Linked DNA regions of Mus musculus: all the other regions are reported to be linked to region 3. Evidence: microRNA targets listed by miRTarBase, many of them from high-throughput screens and not tested one by one. Region 3 holds a microRNA gene; each other region holds the end of a gene's coding sequence.

The links. Region 3 holds the annotated microRNA mmu-miR-9-5p (UCUUUGGUUAUCUAGCUGUAUGA, at 1,989-2,011, shown strand). A microRNA usually pairs through its seed, bases 2 to 8, with sites in the 3' UTR of a target mRNA and lowers its output. Matches are read on the target gene's strand: a 7mer-m8 pairs with bases 2 to 8, a 7mer-A1 pairs with bases 2 to 7 and ends in A, and an 8mer does both.
Region 1: the mRNA of Sestd1 is a reported target of mmu-miR-9-5p. The part of its 3' UTR that is shown has no 7-base or 8-base seed match.
Region 2: miRTarBase lists Disp2 as a target of mmu-miR-9-5p. The part of its 3' UTR that is shown has no 7-base or 8-base seed match.
Region 4: the mRNA of Cd151 is a reported target of mmu-miR-9-5p. Seed matches in the 3' UTR shown: 7mer-m8 at 3,033-3,039.

Annotation. Positions count from the first base shown.
Region 1 is chr2:77,184,102-77,188,173 of GRCm38, reverse strand. It overlaps Sestd1 (SEC14 and spectrin domains 1), which reads left to right. Exons shown (of 18, transcript NM_175465.6): 18 at 914-4,072. The coding sequence ends at 1,043. Among named protein-coding and RNA genes, the nearest start is that of Ccdc141, 16 kb to the right of the region's middle.
Region 2 is chr2:118,792,541-118,795,540 of GRCm38, forward strand. It overlaps Disp2 (dispatched RND tramsporter family member 2), which reads left to right. Exons shown (of 8, transcript NM_170593.3): 8 at 1-2,635. The coding sequence ends at 286. Among named protein-coding and RNA genes, the nearest start is that of Gm38629, 4.7 kb to the right of the region's middle.
Region 3 is chr3:88,213,625-88,217,696 of GRCm38, forward strand. It overlaps Mir9-1 (microRNA 9-1), which reads left to right and starts at 1,974; the gene lies at 1,974-2,062. All of the region lies in intron 2 of Gm3764 (predicted gene 3764), which reads left to right. It overlaps Mir3093 (microRNA 3093), which reads left to right and starts at 1,547; the gene lies at 1,547-1,633. Gm25641 (predicted gene, 25641) reads right to left here and starts at 2,046; the gene lies at 1,989-2,046.
Region 4 is chr7:141,469,879-141,473,950 of GRCm38, reverse strand. Cd151 (CD151 antigen) reads right to left here. Exons shown (of 8, transcript NM_001111049.1): 5 at 3,940-4,014; 6 at 3,726-3,830; 7 at 3,483-3,641; 8 at 2,470-3,400. The coding sequence ends at 3,254. It overlaps Polr2l (polymerase (RNA) II (DNA directed) polypeptide L), which reads left to right. Exons shown (of 2, transcript NM_025593.1): 2 at 547-2,091. The coding sequence ends at 655. Among named protein-coding and RNA genes, the nearest start is that of Polr2l, 3.2 kb to the left of the region's middle.

The sequences.
Region 1 (4,072 bases), not on the chromosome of region 3:
CTCATCGTTGTTGCTAATCCAGATAGAGTCGGATGGTTCGTGATGTAGAGCTGAAGGACCTGAGGCTCAGATTAATCTAGAGACCGGGGGTTCCCAGTGTCTAGGTGTTGGCCTTAGGATACAGTCTCAGGTCCGTCCATCTCCAAACCTGTCATCTTATCCCAGGCTCTAAGGCATCCTGGGCTTTTCATATGGAGAGTTACCAGGCCCTGGTCTGCACCCTGCATTTTATTTTCAAATGTGAAGTAAGCCAGGCAAAAAATCAAGAGTTTCATGCCTGGAGATGCAGACCTTGTCAGTGAGTCACTGAGAGGTAGGGCAAAGGAAATGTAATTGAAGCAATAGAGAAACCACGCCATCAGGTACAAGTAAGGTATTCTCGCTTTGTGGAAGTGTGATGGAAGAAAAGATAGAAGCCAGGGCCCAAGTCTTGGCTCCTTTTCTTACCGCCCAGCAGTGACTGCAGCTGCAGCTGCAACTGCAGGTGGGATAATTGTGGTTTTTCAGGTTACAGCAGTGGGGGCTTCCTAGAGCCAAACAGATAGACAGAACTTAAATGAGACACAAGGGACATACTGCTATGTCATGAACTTCCAGTGAGTATTTAGAATTCATATTGAAAAAAAAATTACCACTTTATTCCCTTGGAAGAATATCATTCATAGTCTACACTGAGAAAATCTCTAGGGATACCTGGATTTGAACTGTCAAAGTAGCTTAGTGTCATATGATTTACCGGCAGCAAAAGAGCAACCCCAGCAGAACGGGTTTATAGGTACAAGTCACTGTGCCCCAGATGAACTAGTTTGAACTCAAAGGTCATGTCATATTTTATAACATCTGCTTTTATGCACCTGGTACAGTTAAATGAATTTGGATTAACCTGTGTGATTTCTGTGTGTTCTAATTTTAGAACTGAACAATATTTTGGAAGTCCAAGTGACATGGCTTCTACTGCAGAGCACATCAGGGACAGAATGAAACTGGTCAGTCTCAAAAGGCAGCAGCTGAGACATCCCGAATTGGTGACCACGGAGAGCTAATGTCCCCAGCTCCCGCAGATCTGCAGGTCATACGCCCACATTCTTTGCTGCTGGCATTCTCTGGGGTTAGCCACAGCTCGTTAAGATGCATTTCACAGCGGGATAAGCCTCCTTTCTTCCCACGACACGTGTCTCTCTCTAAATGCTAACATTTCTCCACCACCAAGGCATAGTCACAACATGCTTTGAGACTGTAGACTCCTGGTATCCTAAGAGAAGGAATTGTAACCACCGCACTGAGTCCTCGCTTTCACGCCGTACCTGACTTGTCAGTTTGTAGCCAAACAACCAATACTAAGCTTTGAATGGTGCTAATCAGAGTTTAGGAATTCTCTATAAAACATGGCTGCCCTTCCTCCCCAGGTGATGTAGGATATTTAGACCATAGTTAGACTGTTAGTGAATAGTGGTGTCCTCAAAATTTTACTTTGTAATTCTTCAAAATTGATTATTTTTAATGTCTATATGAAGAAAACCCTTCAGATCTTTGATATATCATATTCATTGAAAGACATTTTCCTATTGTATTCATAATGTATTAAAAGTTGTTTGTGCTTAATAAAAATCTTCTTTAAACATCTTATTTAATTTGGTAGTTACGTCCTGCTTCTAAACACGAGTGCCTTACTAACGGGGCATTCTTAGAATTGTAAGGAGGGTTAATCATTGTTTGTGATGGTGGATGCATGTATTTTAGGCAAGAATTTCATATGTATGCATGTGTATATAATAAAAAACAAGCATGTTTATTGTGAAGAATAATTTAGACCATTAAGAACATAATAATAGAATACTATTTTAAACTTTTCTCTTGAAAAATGGTGTCCAGAATATTAGCTCCCCTGAAGACACTTTGTCTGTGGGGAAGGAGGGCTAAAGATGAAGGTATACATACTCAATGTAATCTTTTATATCACAGCAATCACTCTGGAACTAAAGCAGAAATTGTTAATAATATTTAATATCTCATGGTATTAGAGGCAAAAAAATCATCCTGAAGTATAGTCACAAAAACTGTATAGATCTTTAGAAATAAAATTTGTCATAAAATGGTAATGCTTTTATGTTTGTATTAAGTTATAAAATGTATATACTTTAACATTGTGTTAATTTTAATTTTAGAATATATTTTAAGGTGAAAATAACTGGGCTTATCAGTACAAAATTATGCAAAGAATCGTATGCAGGTTTATTTTTCTGGTCTGTAAAGACGATCACGTACCTTCCTATGTTCAAGCCAGTTTCTCCAGCCTTCTTTTTTGCCAGCCTTGATGAATTTCATCATCCTCACCCTCACCCTGTGTCACCTTTCAGTCAGCTTTGCGCCTCACTTTACAGGAAACGGCCATAGTCTTCTGGGTCCCGCATTGAATGTTTTTGCTCTCTGACACGTCACCTTCCTTTCGCTCCGTTTCTAGTCTCTCCCTAACAGTGCTCCATCCCTCAGTGGTGCTCTCTCCTGCCATGTGAGGGCATGGTTTAGGTCTGTTGCACATGCACACTGTGCTGCTGTCCTCAGCTCTTGCTCATTGGGCATCCCATCCCTAGTCCTGCATTTCACGTCCGATCCCAATTGCATAGCTTTCAGCTGACTCGGTCCTCTCCCCTAAATGAAAGCATATCCTACTTGCCTTTTCTTCCTGAGTAGTTTTGATTAATGGTGCCAACAATGTCCAGGGCAAACCTCAGCTGTTCCCCATGTCTTACTCTGCCTCTGAGACCATCCAGAAGTCTTTTCTATACTTGATAACCCTTCTTCAGGGCTCGCCTCCTGTGCATAGGAGCTCCTGTGATTCTTTCTTCAGTCTTCATGATGGTGCTAACTTTTCCTGTTACATCATAAAGTCCTCTTGGGGGTGACTCTTGTCCCACATGTCTTGTGCCTAGACCTTTGCTCATGTGTGACATGCTCAGTCCTACAGCTGTGTTCCTTTGTCAGCGTTAGTAATAATCTCTCCACTACTGCAGTCTGAGGTCTATTTAAACAGTGTTTGGCTTTTCCTAGCGTTAGAACTGACTTGTAAATCTGTGTCCATGGAATGTGTCTGATGTTTTAGATCCTTAGATGTGGAACTTTTAGATATTGTTTATATTCAGTATCAGTCTCTTTTTACTGAGTTTCAGCATCATCAGTATCTTTATTTGACTTGGTAATTATGCCATCAGCTCATGGATGCATAATTTCAATTTAATTTTCATATATCTTAAGCCCTCTTCCCTGCAAAAAGTGGAATAAGACAAACCATGGAAATGCCATGTCGGACTTGAAAGTTAAATGGAACGAGATACACAGAATGGACATAGTCGCTCTTCTTTGGCAAATGTGGACCCCTTTTCCATGGGTTTATCTTTATAGATACACAAGAGTTATGAATAAAAACCGAGCAATGCCCAAACTGACTTTCCTCATGTGGTCACAGTTCACTTAGAGGACATATGAAGGAGGTGACTTCGGTTTGTGTGAAATCTCAGGCCTTTGTTATATTAATACTGACATTGACCTAAAAATGTCATTAAAAAGAAATACTTCCTTCTTACTGGTTCAATGCCGCAGCCCCCTGCATTATTTTAACCCTTCTGGAGGTTGACTGACACATTAGCTAGCTAACTTTTGTGTCTGGCTTTTTTTTTTTTTTTCTTTTTTGCCCGTGCCTATCTTTGTTCCTGTGTAAACTCAGCAGACAATGGCAATTTGATGTCTTCTCTTAGTACGTATCTGACTCGGCAGAGCTGTGATGCAAAGACGATAACTTCCTTTGAGACCAGTTTGGCTGCATTCCCAGTTCTCATCGTTCTGACCTTATTTTACAGGGGAGTCATTAGTGATCTTGGTGAGAGCTCATCCTGTTAGCTTCCATTCAGTACAGGAGAGTGGGCTGGATCTCGTACTTCATTGGGATTGAAAGTGGCTTGTGGATGTTATCTACTCGGAATGTGTCCGTCACTGCAGTATTCTCAGTTGATAGGTGGTATGATGTCAGTATTGTGACCCATTCTCAGTGAGAACATGACAGGTTGCTAAGCAAATC
Region 2 (3,000 bases), not on the chromosome of region 3:
CCGTGTGCCAGATTCTGTGGGTACCTCCCCAGAAGTCATGAATGGCACTGGACACCCCATACTTGAGCGGGGCCAGCTGAATGGGAAGCGCGACACCCTCTGGCTAGCACTGAAGGAGACCATCTATGACCCAAACATGCCCAATTCTCACCACAGCAGCTTATCCTGGAAGGGCCGTGGAGGGCCAGGCGATATCAGCCCTGTGATGCTTCCCAACAGTCAGCCAGATCTCCCAGATGTTTGGCTCCGTAGGCCCAGCACCTACACCTCTGGCTACAGCAGCTGAGAGAGGCCAAGGAAGGCCAGACCAGGGTCCACAACCCTGTTGGTGAAGATAAGGCAGATGCCACACTAGCCTAGAGCCTGAAGGTATTTCTCCCTATTGACATGATGTCTTACCCTCCAAGTATGGATTCTAAACCCTGCCAGATGTTCTAGCCTTGATCTCTTTGCTACTTACCCCTGCATCTGGAGGATTCAGTGGGAGGGCCTTGCAAGGTAATACCAGGCTCTCCCTGTGACCAACTAAGGACTCATCTGTCCCCACAGTGCCAACAAGGACCCCTACTCTGGAAAGGAGGGAGGCCAGATGTGCAGTTCCAGGTATTGGGGAGGCTGATCAGCTGTCTCCCGGGTGACAAGAAGTTCAGTGACGCTAAGGTACTCCATCTTTGGGATCCAGTTGGAGTATCTCACTGACTAGAAAAACCCTTAAGAACCTCCACAGCCTATTGAATCTCATCCCTTCTCATTGGCTCTTAATCGGGACACTTCAGTTCTTGGGAAGCTTCTCTGGGCTGGAAGTGAACACGGGCCTCTGTCCTGCACTGTCCTGTTCTGCTCACACTCACCAGTGTGACTAGAAGCTCTCCAAAAGCAGGACAGAGGTGGATGACAAGAGAGAAGCAGGAGACAGGAAGGTCGGCTTTGGAGTATCCCTAAATTCCAAGATTCCCCCATAGGACGCTGACTCCAGAATGTTCCCCTGTAAGTGAGCAGTAGTTACCCCTTACCATTGCCACACCTGCCAGTCTTCTTGGACCTTTGCAAAGTTACTCCACAGTGGCCTGCAGTTGGTCAAGACACTGAGAATGGTTGATTGATTGTCCCCCAAAGTCATGTCACTGGGTAGCAGCAGGATTCTCTCCTGACTCATGCTGCCACTATAGCTCCCTGTCTCCTCCTGAGTGTGAGCTTCAGGGCCCTGGGCCCCTGGCTGTCTTGGTCCTTTGCTTCTGGCAGTTACCCAGTCTCTTTGCTTGAGCCTCTCTTTGTGAGCCCTCCCTCCCCTTGGGGCCTCCACCTCCAGAAAGAGTTGTAGTCTGAGTAGACCGGAGAGTTCCTCATTTCCTTTGAGTTTCCCCGCTCTGAAACTCTCTGAGATGCCTACTAGCCATGGGCCTACCGGGTCACAGGCAGCCGAGCTGAAGCTTAGGCTTCAAGGATGTGCCTCTTTCATGGCTGAGGAGTACAGACAGGCTTTGCCAGAAGAGGTACGAAGGGACAGAAGAATGTGAACAGAATCTAGTTAAGACAAGAACACAAAGTTGCTCTTGTGGAGTTGTCCAGGACCCTGAAGTCTAGGTATCAGGTCCTCAGTTTCTGAAGACTAGGCCTCCCAGTAAGGTTGCTTGACGGTGTCACTGATCAGTGGCAGAGTGCTCTCCTGACTCATCCTGCCACTATGGCTCCCTGTCTCCTCCTGACCAACTGCCTGCTTCAGGGCCATTAGCTTTCTCCACCCAAAGCACTCATGTGACACAGCTCAAGACACCAGGCACCATCTGCAAGTTTACTGAACACCTGCATTGGAAAGGGTGTTGTAAGGGAGAGAGACATGGAACGGAGAACTGGCCTCCTGCTGGGAAGCAGGCATTAGTGGGTCAGGGTTACTGCCGAGCTCAGGTGCCCAGCAATAGGTGACCGGGAAGATCTCGTGGAGAGGGATGGGTTTGAGCTGGGCTTCAGAAGATCAAGCAGATCAGACAGGAGGGAGCTTGGTGATCCAACTCCAAGGGTCCCCTAAGGACTGTTCTTTCAATAAGCTCCTGTGTCTAAAACTCCTGCTCCGAGGGGTGTGAGTTTAGGGGTGCTGCTAGCTCAGCTTCCCTTTCTAGTGCAGATCTCCAGGGGTCTCCAGGTCCCTGGGAATATCCATAGATCTTGGCATGAAGACCACCAATCTAGGCCATTTTATATAGGAGTATCAGAAAGGAGTTTTCCAGTGCCAAACAATCTAAGGCAAGGCTAGAGGCAAGCCAGAGGACACTTTTGTTTTATTTTGTTGAGTTCCTGTGTTATTGAGACCTATCTCCCACCCCAAGTAGCCCAGGACAAGTGGAGCAGAAACTCAGATGAGAACATAAGAATGTGGGAAAGACAGAAGACAGTTTTCCCTCAGTATCCATGGAGAACTGGTTCCAGCACACCCCGCACCTTCCAGCATACTAAAATCTGAGGATGCTCAAGTCCCTCGTGTAGAATGGTGTAGTATTTGCATATAATGATGCATATTCTCCTATATTTAAATCGTCTCTAGAGTACTTATAATGCCTAATATGATGTAAATGCTATGTCAGTCCTTACACCGTGTTGTTGTAATAATGACAAGAAAAATAATATGTGTGTGGTGAGTTTTTGTTTCTTTCTTTTATTTTTTTTCTGTTTCAATGTATTCAGGTTGGGTGTGGTTTACACACACACACACACACACACACACACACACCGAATATTCTGGGTCTGTGTGGCTGGTAAGGCCACAGAGAGGGCTGTGTAAGCCAATTCCTTATCAGGTAACTAATTTGATAAATGTCTCCTGATCAAGGAGGGCTCCGTTCGTGTACCTGTAGTGTCAGCTATGTGGGAAGCTGAAGCTGGAGGATTGCTTGAGCCCAGAAGACCAAGTACAGCTTGGACAACATAGTAAGTCCATGTCTAAAAAGAGGAGGGAAAGAGAGAGAGAGAGAGAGAGAGAGAGAGAGAGAGAGAGAGAGAGAGAGA
Region 3 (4,072 bases):
CCTGAAAGGCATCTTCCTTGGGGAACCGAACCCAGAGCTGGCACTGCATGCCTGGGAGCCTGGAGGAACATGGGTAGAGGGAAAGACCTATTAAAGGTCTCCAGGACTTGGCCAAATTCTGAGTCTCAAAAGCAGCTAGGATTCTGTGGTTATCTGCAGATAGGGTCAAGGAACATTCCCCTGAAATGCAGAAAAGAGGGCCCCCTTTGCTCGCCCATTGTCTCATAGCAGGAGACTCAAACTGCACAGTCTTCCCTTCAGTGAGGGTTTGAGTTGAAAACCTTGAACAAAAGAGACCCTTGCCTCTCCTAAATATTAGGATCACAGTTTGGGAGGAATTAGAACTCAAAAAGACTCTAACGGTGGGGTGAGGTGGGAGGGGGTCAGAGATAGAGTCTCCAGTCCGCATCCCTGCCTCAACCTCCTGGTGCTGAGATTACAGATCTCTTCTCTTTGAGGGAATTTTGCCCTATTTATTTTCTATTTTTGCGTGCTGGTCTTGGTGCAATGTACCGTAGAGCCCAAAAGGAAAATGTAAGATCGACAAGAAGAGCGAAGGTGGCCATCAGAACCGCAATTGGCAATGGATTATAGACGTGGCAGGCGGGTTGTAGATGAGGCAGCAAAAGACTAAGGATTGGCATAAAGACATTGGATCCCATTCTCTGGGGGAGGGGCACCCCAATTGCACGTCTTGGACTGGCCTGGGGAGGGAGGGGGTCGGGCATGGAAAGGCTGGGGGGGAGGGGGGGAAGAAACGAGACAGTGACGTCAGACCAGGTATAGCCAATCAGGGGCTGACCTGAGGAAGGAGTGTGAAGGGATGAATGAAAAGTCCGGAGCCTGAGAGCGCCCCCGCCAGAGCAGCGGCCAAGGCTGAGGAGAGAGCTGGGACTCGAGACCCTGCTCCACCCTGCTGGCTCTCGCTCGGCCCCATTACCTGGCAAGCCCCGGCATCCTTGACCCACGTCCGTGGCGCTGCCTGGGTAGGAACGCGCCTGAAGACCGCGCAGGACACTACCACTGGGCATCCTGGGTTTGATGTAAGTGGCCTGACCCGCGTGGGGCACGAGGTGGGGAAAGCGCCTCAGAGTCCAGCGCGCGCGTCCGCCACCTGCGACCACGGAGCTCTACACCCTCTGCACGGTCCCTGGACCTCCTTCCAGTGGGTTCAGTCCAGATAGCCCCCTCCAGCCACTAAGGGCATCTCTCACTCAGACCCCCAGTGGCATATTTCACATCTCTGAATGATTTCGGCTGCGTTTTGCACAAAACCGGCTCCCGCGCGGTTCCGTAGGTCCAGGGCTCGGAGCACCTGCCTGGTCACCCTTTGCCCTAACCCGCAGCCCCACGTCCTGACTGCTCGCCCGATTCTCTCTGGGTGGGGTCTTTGCCCTTGGGAGAGTCGCTGGGGAGTCTCTAGATCACCCTCCACCCCGCCGCCAGCCACAGGCTTCCCTCTGGGCCTCGGGGTTCCCCAGTGCTGGGGTTCCCGTCCGGGGCTTCGCGGCCGCTCCCCTGCAGTCGGTAGCTCGGAGCAGCTCTGCGAGCTCGGCTCTGCCGCACCCCGCGGAGCTCACACTCGACCTTCCAGAGAAGGGTGTGGACACCGTGGGAGGTTGGGGAGGCCTCGGCCTAGGCTTCTGCGGTCTTCCCGGATGGCACGAAGGCCCTGGAGCCTTTCCACTAGCACCGGCGGAACCCTGCTTCTGCACGGAGGAGGGAGTGGGAAATGGGCGGTCAGGCTTGGGGCCGCTTGGTTTCAGCCTAGATTCCCGACCTCAGAACCGTCGGCGGTAGCATCTTTTCCTCGCCTTTCTGAGGTCTCGTCGTGATAGTGCGTGAGGTCCTGGATCCCATCTTTTCGCCTCCACACCACGCGCGTCCCCCATCCGCCGTCGAGCGACTCGAGACTACGGAGGTCCAGGCGGTGGCCGGGAGGCTGCGTGGAAGAGGAGGAGGCGGCCAGGAGGCGGGGTTGGTTGTTATCTTTGGTTATCTAGCTGTATGAGTGGTGTGGAGTCTTCATAAAGCTAGATAACCGAAAGTAAAAATAACCCCATACACTGCGCAGAGGGCCTGGAACGCTGGTAGTGGCCGAGCTGCAGGAGGGAGAGCCGTGCCAGGCGTGCCTGGAGGCTGGAGGGCTGGGGGGAGGGGGACTCGTCGCCTTCAAAGGTTGCTCAGCCCGAGCCACCTCGCGATCCCCACCCGCAACCTGCTCACCTGGGAAGAAAGCAAGAAGCCGCTCTGGGGTCGCCTCTGGAGGCCTGGTCAAAATGGAGCAGTCTGGGCCTCAGTCCGGAGAAGCCGCTCCCGGGAGAGACAGAGCCCTTGGCTGAAGGGTTGGGGGGAAAGTGCAAGCATCCCTCTCCCGGTCTCGACGCATCCCGGGAGCGGGTGGCTGGTGTGAGCAGCTTCCCTCTGGCTCTTCGAAGCGACTGGTGGAGTTCGAGGTTCGTAGGATGTCTCTAGAAAGCTGGTTTTTGCTTTGGTGGTTTCCCTGAAGCCCTTCAGCTTTACTGGGAGTCAAGATTGCCCAGGTGGGAACAGGTCTAGGAGCGGGGAAGGCTTAAAAACCAACACACACATCGAACTTATTAGGGAGAATGGCGATGCAGAAACAAAGTAACCACAAGGGCAAGGGCCAGAGTGGCCAGAGACCTTTTTACCCCACAGGAATTCTGGGACCCTGGGGCGCAGGTTCTTTGCTTTCACTTTGGCCTTCAGGACCAGAGCTAAGTCTAACTGAACTCTCTCTGGCTGCTTTGTCATTAGTGGCTAAAGGTGTAGAGTTGGGGTGGGGGGCTTTAGAGCATCCCACCTTTCGGTCCTAACCTCACTCTTGGAAATCGTGTCCCAAAGGAACAAATGGCCTCAAGGAGCTCTGTGGAGCTCAAACACAAAGGAATGTGTAGCTGTGCTGCCCAGAGAACGCAAAGAATTAGAGAGATTAATTTGGGCTCCTGTAAAAAGAATCTATTTATCTTGCCTGACCTAAATATTTTAGTGAAAGAGGGTTTCTACAGCTGAGAAGATGGTCTAACAAACATGGCCAGAGCTAGGAATCCCCTCTGCTCTCATGGCCCTCAGCCGAACTTGACCAGCTGGCACTTGGAGACCTGGGCTGTACCGACTAATAAGAGGCAGAAAACTGGGCAAAATGTCATCACCCAGACTCCGCTGGTTCTTATAAATTTAAAATTTCCTCCCGGGACCTGATTTTACAGTTAGAAGATAATGATTCAATTTTGTATTACATGGGGGGAAATATTAGAGAATCCAAATTCAAATTCTGGGACTTCAGGGAATCTATTGCCTGTGTGTGTCTTCTTTAGCAGTTAGGGGAGGGAGAGTCGAGTGGCCTCTTAAATTCCAGAAGCTTGGAATTTGTTTTGTTTTGGTAGGGGTGGTGGGGATGAAGCTTAAGTCAAGGAGAAAAGAGGCTGGGTCTAGGCTGGAACTAATGGTCTGGCCACAGCCTGTTTTCTTTTTCCGCTGCTTGAGAGATGCCATGTGATCCCATGTTACACAGGCACAAGTGAGCAGCTGACATTACTCACTGGCTTGACACTCAAAGCTCCTTCCATTTACTCTGTCTTGGAGAAAGTGACACTCCCCACCCCAAGGGAGCCAACTGGGAAAGTAGAAAGAAGGGAAGCCTCTCTGTTATTGGGAATTTGCATGGGCAGAGGAGGGGCATCAATAAAATAAGCTTCCTTATCATTACCATCTTTAATGTTTCCTGTATAGTGTCTTCACTGTAAATTCCAGGACAGCCAGGGCTACACAGCCCTCTATCATAGCACAGGCCTATAATCTGAGCAGTTGCAAAGTAGAGGACGAAGGATCAAGAATTCAAAGTCATCCTTGTCTACACAGCAAGTTCTTGGGCATCCTAGAGTCCCCCTAAACACACACACACACACACACACACACACACACACACACACACACACACACCACATATTCCCAGGAACACTTAGAGTCTCAGTTGCTAACCACAGTAGTTTTATATTATTGTTTCCCATGAGCACATTGGATCACAGGCTCTTCAAAAGAGAGTAGAAGG
Region 4 (4,072 bases), not on the chromosome of region 3:
GAAATTCACCTGCCTCTGCCTCTACCTCCCAAGTGCTTGGGATTAAAGGTGTGCACCACCACACCCAGCTAGATGGCTCAACTGTTAAGAGCACTGGCTGTTTTGTGTGTTTGGTTGTTTGATTGTTTTTTAAGAGGACTCAGGTTCCGTTCCTTGAAGCAACATGGTATCTCGCAAGTGTCCGTAACTCCTTTGGGCTTTGGGAGCATCAGGCACCCATACACATAAAACGAAATTTTAAAAAACAGGTGTAGGCAGAAGGCTGTTAAGGATGGATACAGGATGCTATGGGAGAAGACTGGCACATGAGCAGGTGTAACTTCTAGGTGGGGAAAGGGTCACCTGGCTCCTCCCTGAGCATCTAGATACATATTTCAGAAATCTCCAGGCCATTTCCCTATGGCCTGGTGTCAGGTTTCAATCGCTGATTATGTAGATGTGCTCTGGTAACCCCTATCCACACGAATACCCAGAGGCAAGCTGGAGGTGGTTCCAAACCTATCCAGACTCTAGAGACCACATCCAGCCTCACTCTTCTCTTTACAGGGATGCCCTGGACGCTCTGGGCCTAAAGCGCTACTGCTGCCGCCGCATGCTGCTAGCACACGTGGACCTGATTGAGAAGCTGCTGAACTATGCACCCCTAGAGAAGTGACCGCTGGAGCCTGCCCTCCTCTGTCTCCTGCTGGCCACGGGCAGCCTGTCGTGCTATGTTCAAACTGAGCTATTGGGGATGTTGGTGTATTGCCTGGCTGTGGCCCTGTGGCTAAGTCCTGTTACCCTGGAAGGAACTGTTTAGTAAAGATGTTTGCAGAACCACCAACAGGTCTAACTTCCAAGGTGCTCCATGTCCATGTCTGTGCTGTCTCTGAGGCTACCTGGCCTGCCTCCAGTCTTTCCCCTAGGGCTGGTCTCCTTCCCCTTCATCTGACTGGGAGTCTCGTCCTGTGGAGGAGTACCCTGCTTCCGTTCCCCGGGGCCTTGACCACTTTGATCAACGAGGTAGCCCTACAGTAGTCTTGTACCACATTGCTTTAGGGCCTCTCCGCTTCCTGCCTGTGTTCAGGATGGGCATAATGGATGTGGGCACCACACCATCCACAGGTATGGATGGGCCCAAGCCTGGTGACAATATTCCTTTGGAATGCTGAGCGTGCTTGGAGGTCCCAATCCTTGTGCTAGGGTTATTATGCATTTGGGTATTTGGTCTGCTTATAAGTCTTTGTATCACTGTGTCCCCACAGAGGCCAGATCCCCTGAGAGTAAAGTTATAGAATGTATAAGCTGCCATCAGGTATTGGGAATCAAACCCAGATTTATTTACCTTTCATTTTCCAAGACAGGGTTTCTCTGTTTGGCCTTGACTATCCTGGAATTCAACTCTGCAGACCAGGCTGGCCTTGAACTAAAGAGATCAGTCTCTGCCTCCCGAGTGTTGAGTTTAAAGGACGGCTTGTGCCACCCAACCAAACCCAGATACTGTAGGAGTACGCCCAAGGCCACAGGCCTCACGAATTTCTTGGGTCCTAAAGCCCATCAGCTGTGTGAGCCTATCTGCTGCCCATGCCTGAGGATCTTGTTTCCAGAATCTTCCCAGGCCCGACAGCTAGGCAGCCCTGCCCCTTGACCCAATCCCCACAGCATGTAGTCCTAAGAAGCCTACTCTAGGCCAAAGGAGGTGGTGTAGTGCTTTAGCTCCTAGGCATCTGCATCAAGTACCCCGGGTTCTTTCTAGCACATTGATCCCTTTGAGAATTTTGGTGGGTTTTTTTGTTTTGTTTTTTGAGACCAGCTTTGGCTGGTTTGAAACTCACAACAGTCAGCCTGCCTTTACCTCTTGGATTCTGGGATTAAAGGTGTGTGTGGCATAGCATACCCACCCTACCCCACCCCTGGTTTTTTGTTGTTTTAAAGAAAAAGGCGGGCTGGTGAGATGGCTCAGTGGGTAAGAGCACCCAACTGCTCTTCCAAAGGTCCAGAGTTCAAATCCCAGCAACCACATGGTGGCTCACAACCATCCGCAACAAGATCCTCTTCTGGAGTGTCTGAAGACAGCAACAGTGTACTTACATATATTAATAAATAAATCTTTAAAAAAAAAAAAAAAAGAAAAAGGCTTTGCCTTAGGCTAGAGTCCAGAGAACCCATAGTGGCCTCCTCCAGCTGGCACAGAAGACTGTGGGGAACAAAATCAGCTTAGGACCTCTTCTCAGCTGCTTAGATGAGCTAAAGCCAGAGAAACAGGAGCCAGGGCATCCCCAACAGGCCCTGGTGCCTCCCTTGCCCTCTGACCCTAGCAAGGCCTACAGACTCTTCCTTGAGCATGGACAAGTCCAGGCCACAGTGGGCTGGGGGGATGTTCCAGCTACCAGTGCTCACCCTAACTGTAATTGCCATTGGGCTTCACCAACCTTGACTCTTGTGAGTACTCCAGCTACCCTGGACCATAAGGTCCTGTCAGCAAGCTGATTCGAGTGCTTATACATTTACATTTATTGAGCACCTGTTACATAGCAGGAGCATTTGTGGGCAGCATCTGGAATACAGCAGTGAGATGAAAACAGCCATGCTCCATTCAGAGATGCTCCAAAAGGAGACAGTGTACAGGAACATGGAGCATTTACATGATGCTATCAGTAGTGAGAAAAGGCCAGGGCTGAGCTGTTAGGAGCAAGAGGCCTGTGTGGAGAGGACAGAGCATCAAGTGTGGGGTTGGAGTTTCCCTCAGCTTACACCATTTGTTTGGGGCAAGCAGATCTGAGAGTTCCTGGTAGCAGGCATGAAGGGTGCCTAATCCAACCAGAAAGGCCCCACCTGCTTTTACCCAACGTGTAGTGGTGTACTCAGGTTCTCCCCAGACTTACTGCAGATCACAGCTACCCAAAGGGAAGCAGTCTGCATAAGAGGCACTTCTGTCAAATAATCTAAACCCTATTCTACTAGCCAGGCCTAGCCCAACACTGGCATTTGAACCCCCCACCCCCCCCCCCCTTCTTAATGCTGGGGCAAGTACGCTGCTTCGAGCTTTGGGACTTTGGTGTGCAGTGAAAGGCACTTGAAGGTGCATGCCCCTGAGGTGGCATGCCAGGGGGGGTCATGGCGATGGCATGAGGGTAGCTACCTCTGGCAGTCAGCAGTCTAAGTCAGTAGTGTTCAGTAGTGGGGCTGGGACATAGTGCAAGGCTGGCCGCCCAGCCTGGCATCATCGTGGTCAGTAGTGCAAGGCTGGCCGCCCGGCCTGACATCATCGTGGTCAGTAGTGTTCCAGCTTGAGGCTTCGGTACAAGCAGCAGGTGAAGATCATGCCGAAGACCTGCACACAGGCGATGCCAATGCCCACCGCCCCAATGACCCGCAGGTGCTCCTGAATGAAGGTCTCCAGCTTAGTGATACAGCCACCCTAGTGGGAGAGAAGGGTGGTGGGCCAGGCTGCCTGAAGACCAGTCCGGCCTAGCCCCGCCCCTTGCTGAGAACCCACCTACCTCCACTTTATAGATGTTGGAGGCATGGTCCCGCTTACCACAGCCAGCTACCATAGTCTTACAGCAGCTGTCAGGAACCACGCGGCTGTCTGCCTCACCAGAGCGGATCCACTCGCTGTCTTGCCAGTCTTGAGAGTTGTTGCTGCCACAACAGTGGAACTACAAGGGGCACATGGCTGAGCCTCAGCGCTTGCCGGCACACGGCACCATGCCGAGAGGGCGGGCAGTTCTAGGGGCACCCACCTCTTGCTGCAGCTTGTCGACAGCGCTGCTCACACCCTCGTGGCCTGACTGGTGGTATCTCTTGACCATGGTGTCCTTCAGATTCTCCTTGAGCTCTGTGTTCAGCTGTGGGTAGGATCAAACTCTGGGCAAAGGCAAAGCTGGAGCCAGGACCTCCAATGGGACTGACAGGGCCATGTTCTAGGCACACCCCATGGCCTGTCCAGGCCCTTACCTGCTGATAATAGACATAGGCCAGGATGCCAGCAATGATCTCCAGGAGGAAGATGATGAGGAGCAGGATGAAGTACTAGGGAGCAGGGACCCAGTAAGTGGGGGGTTGCTAGTGCCAGAGTACCACAAAGCCA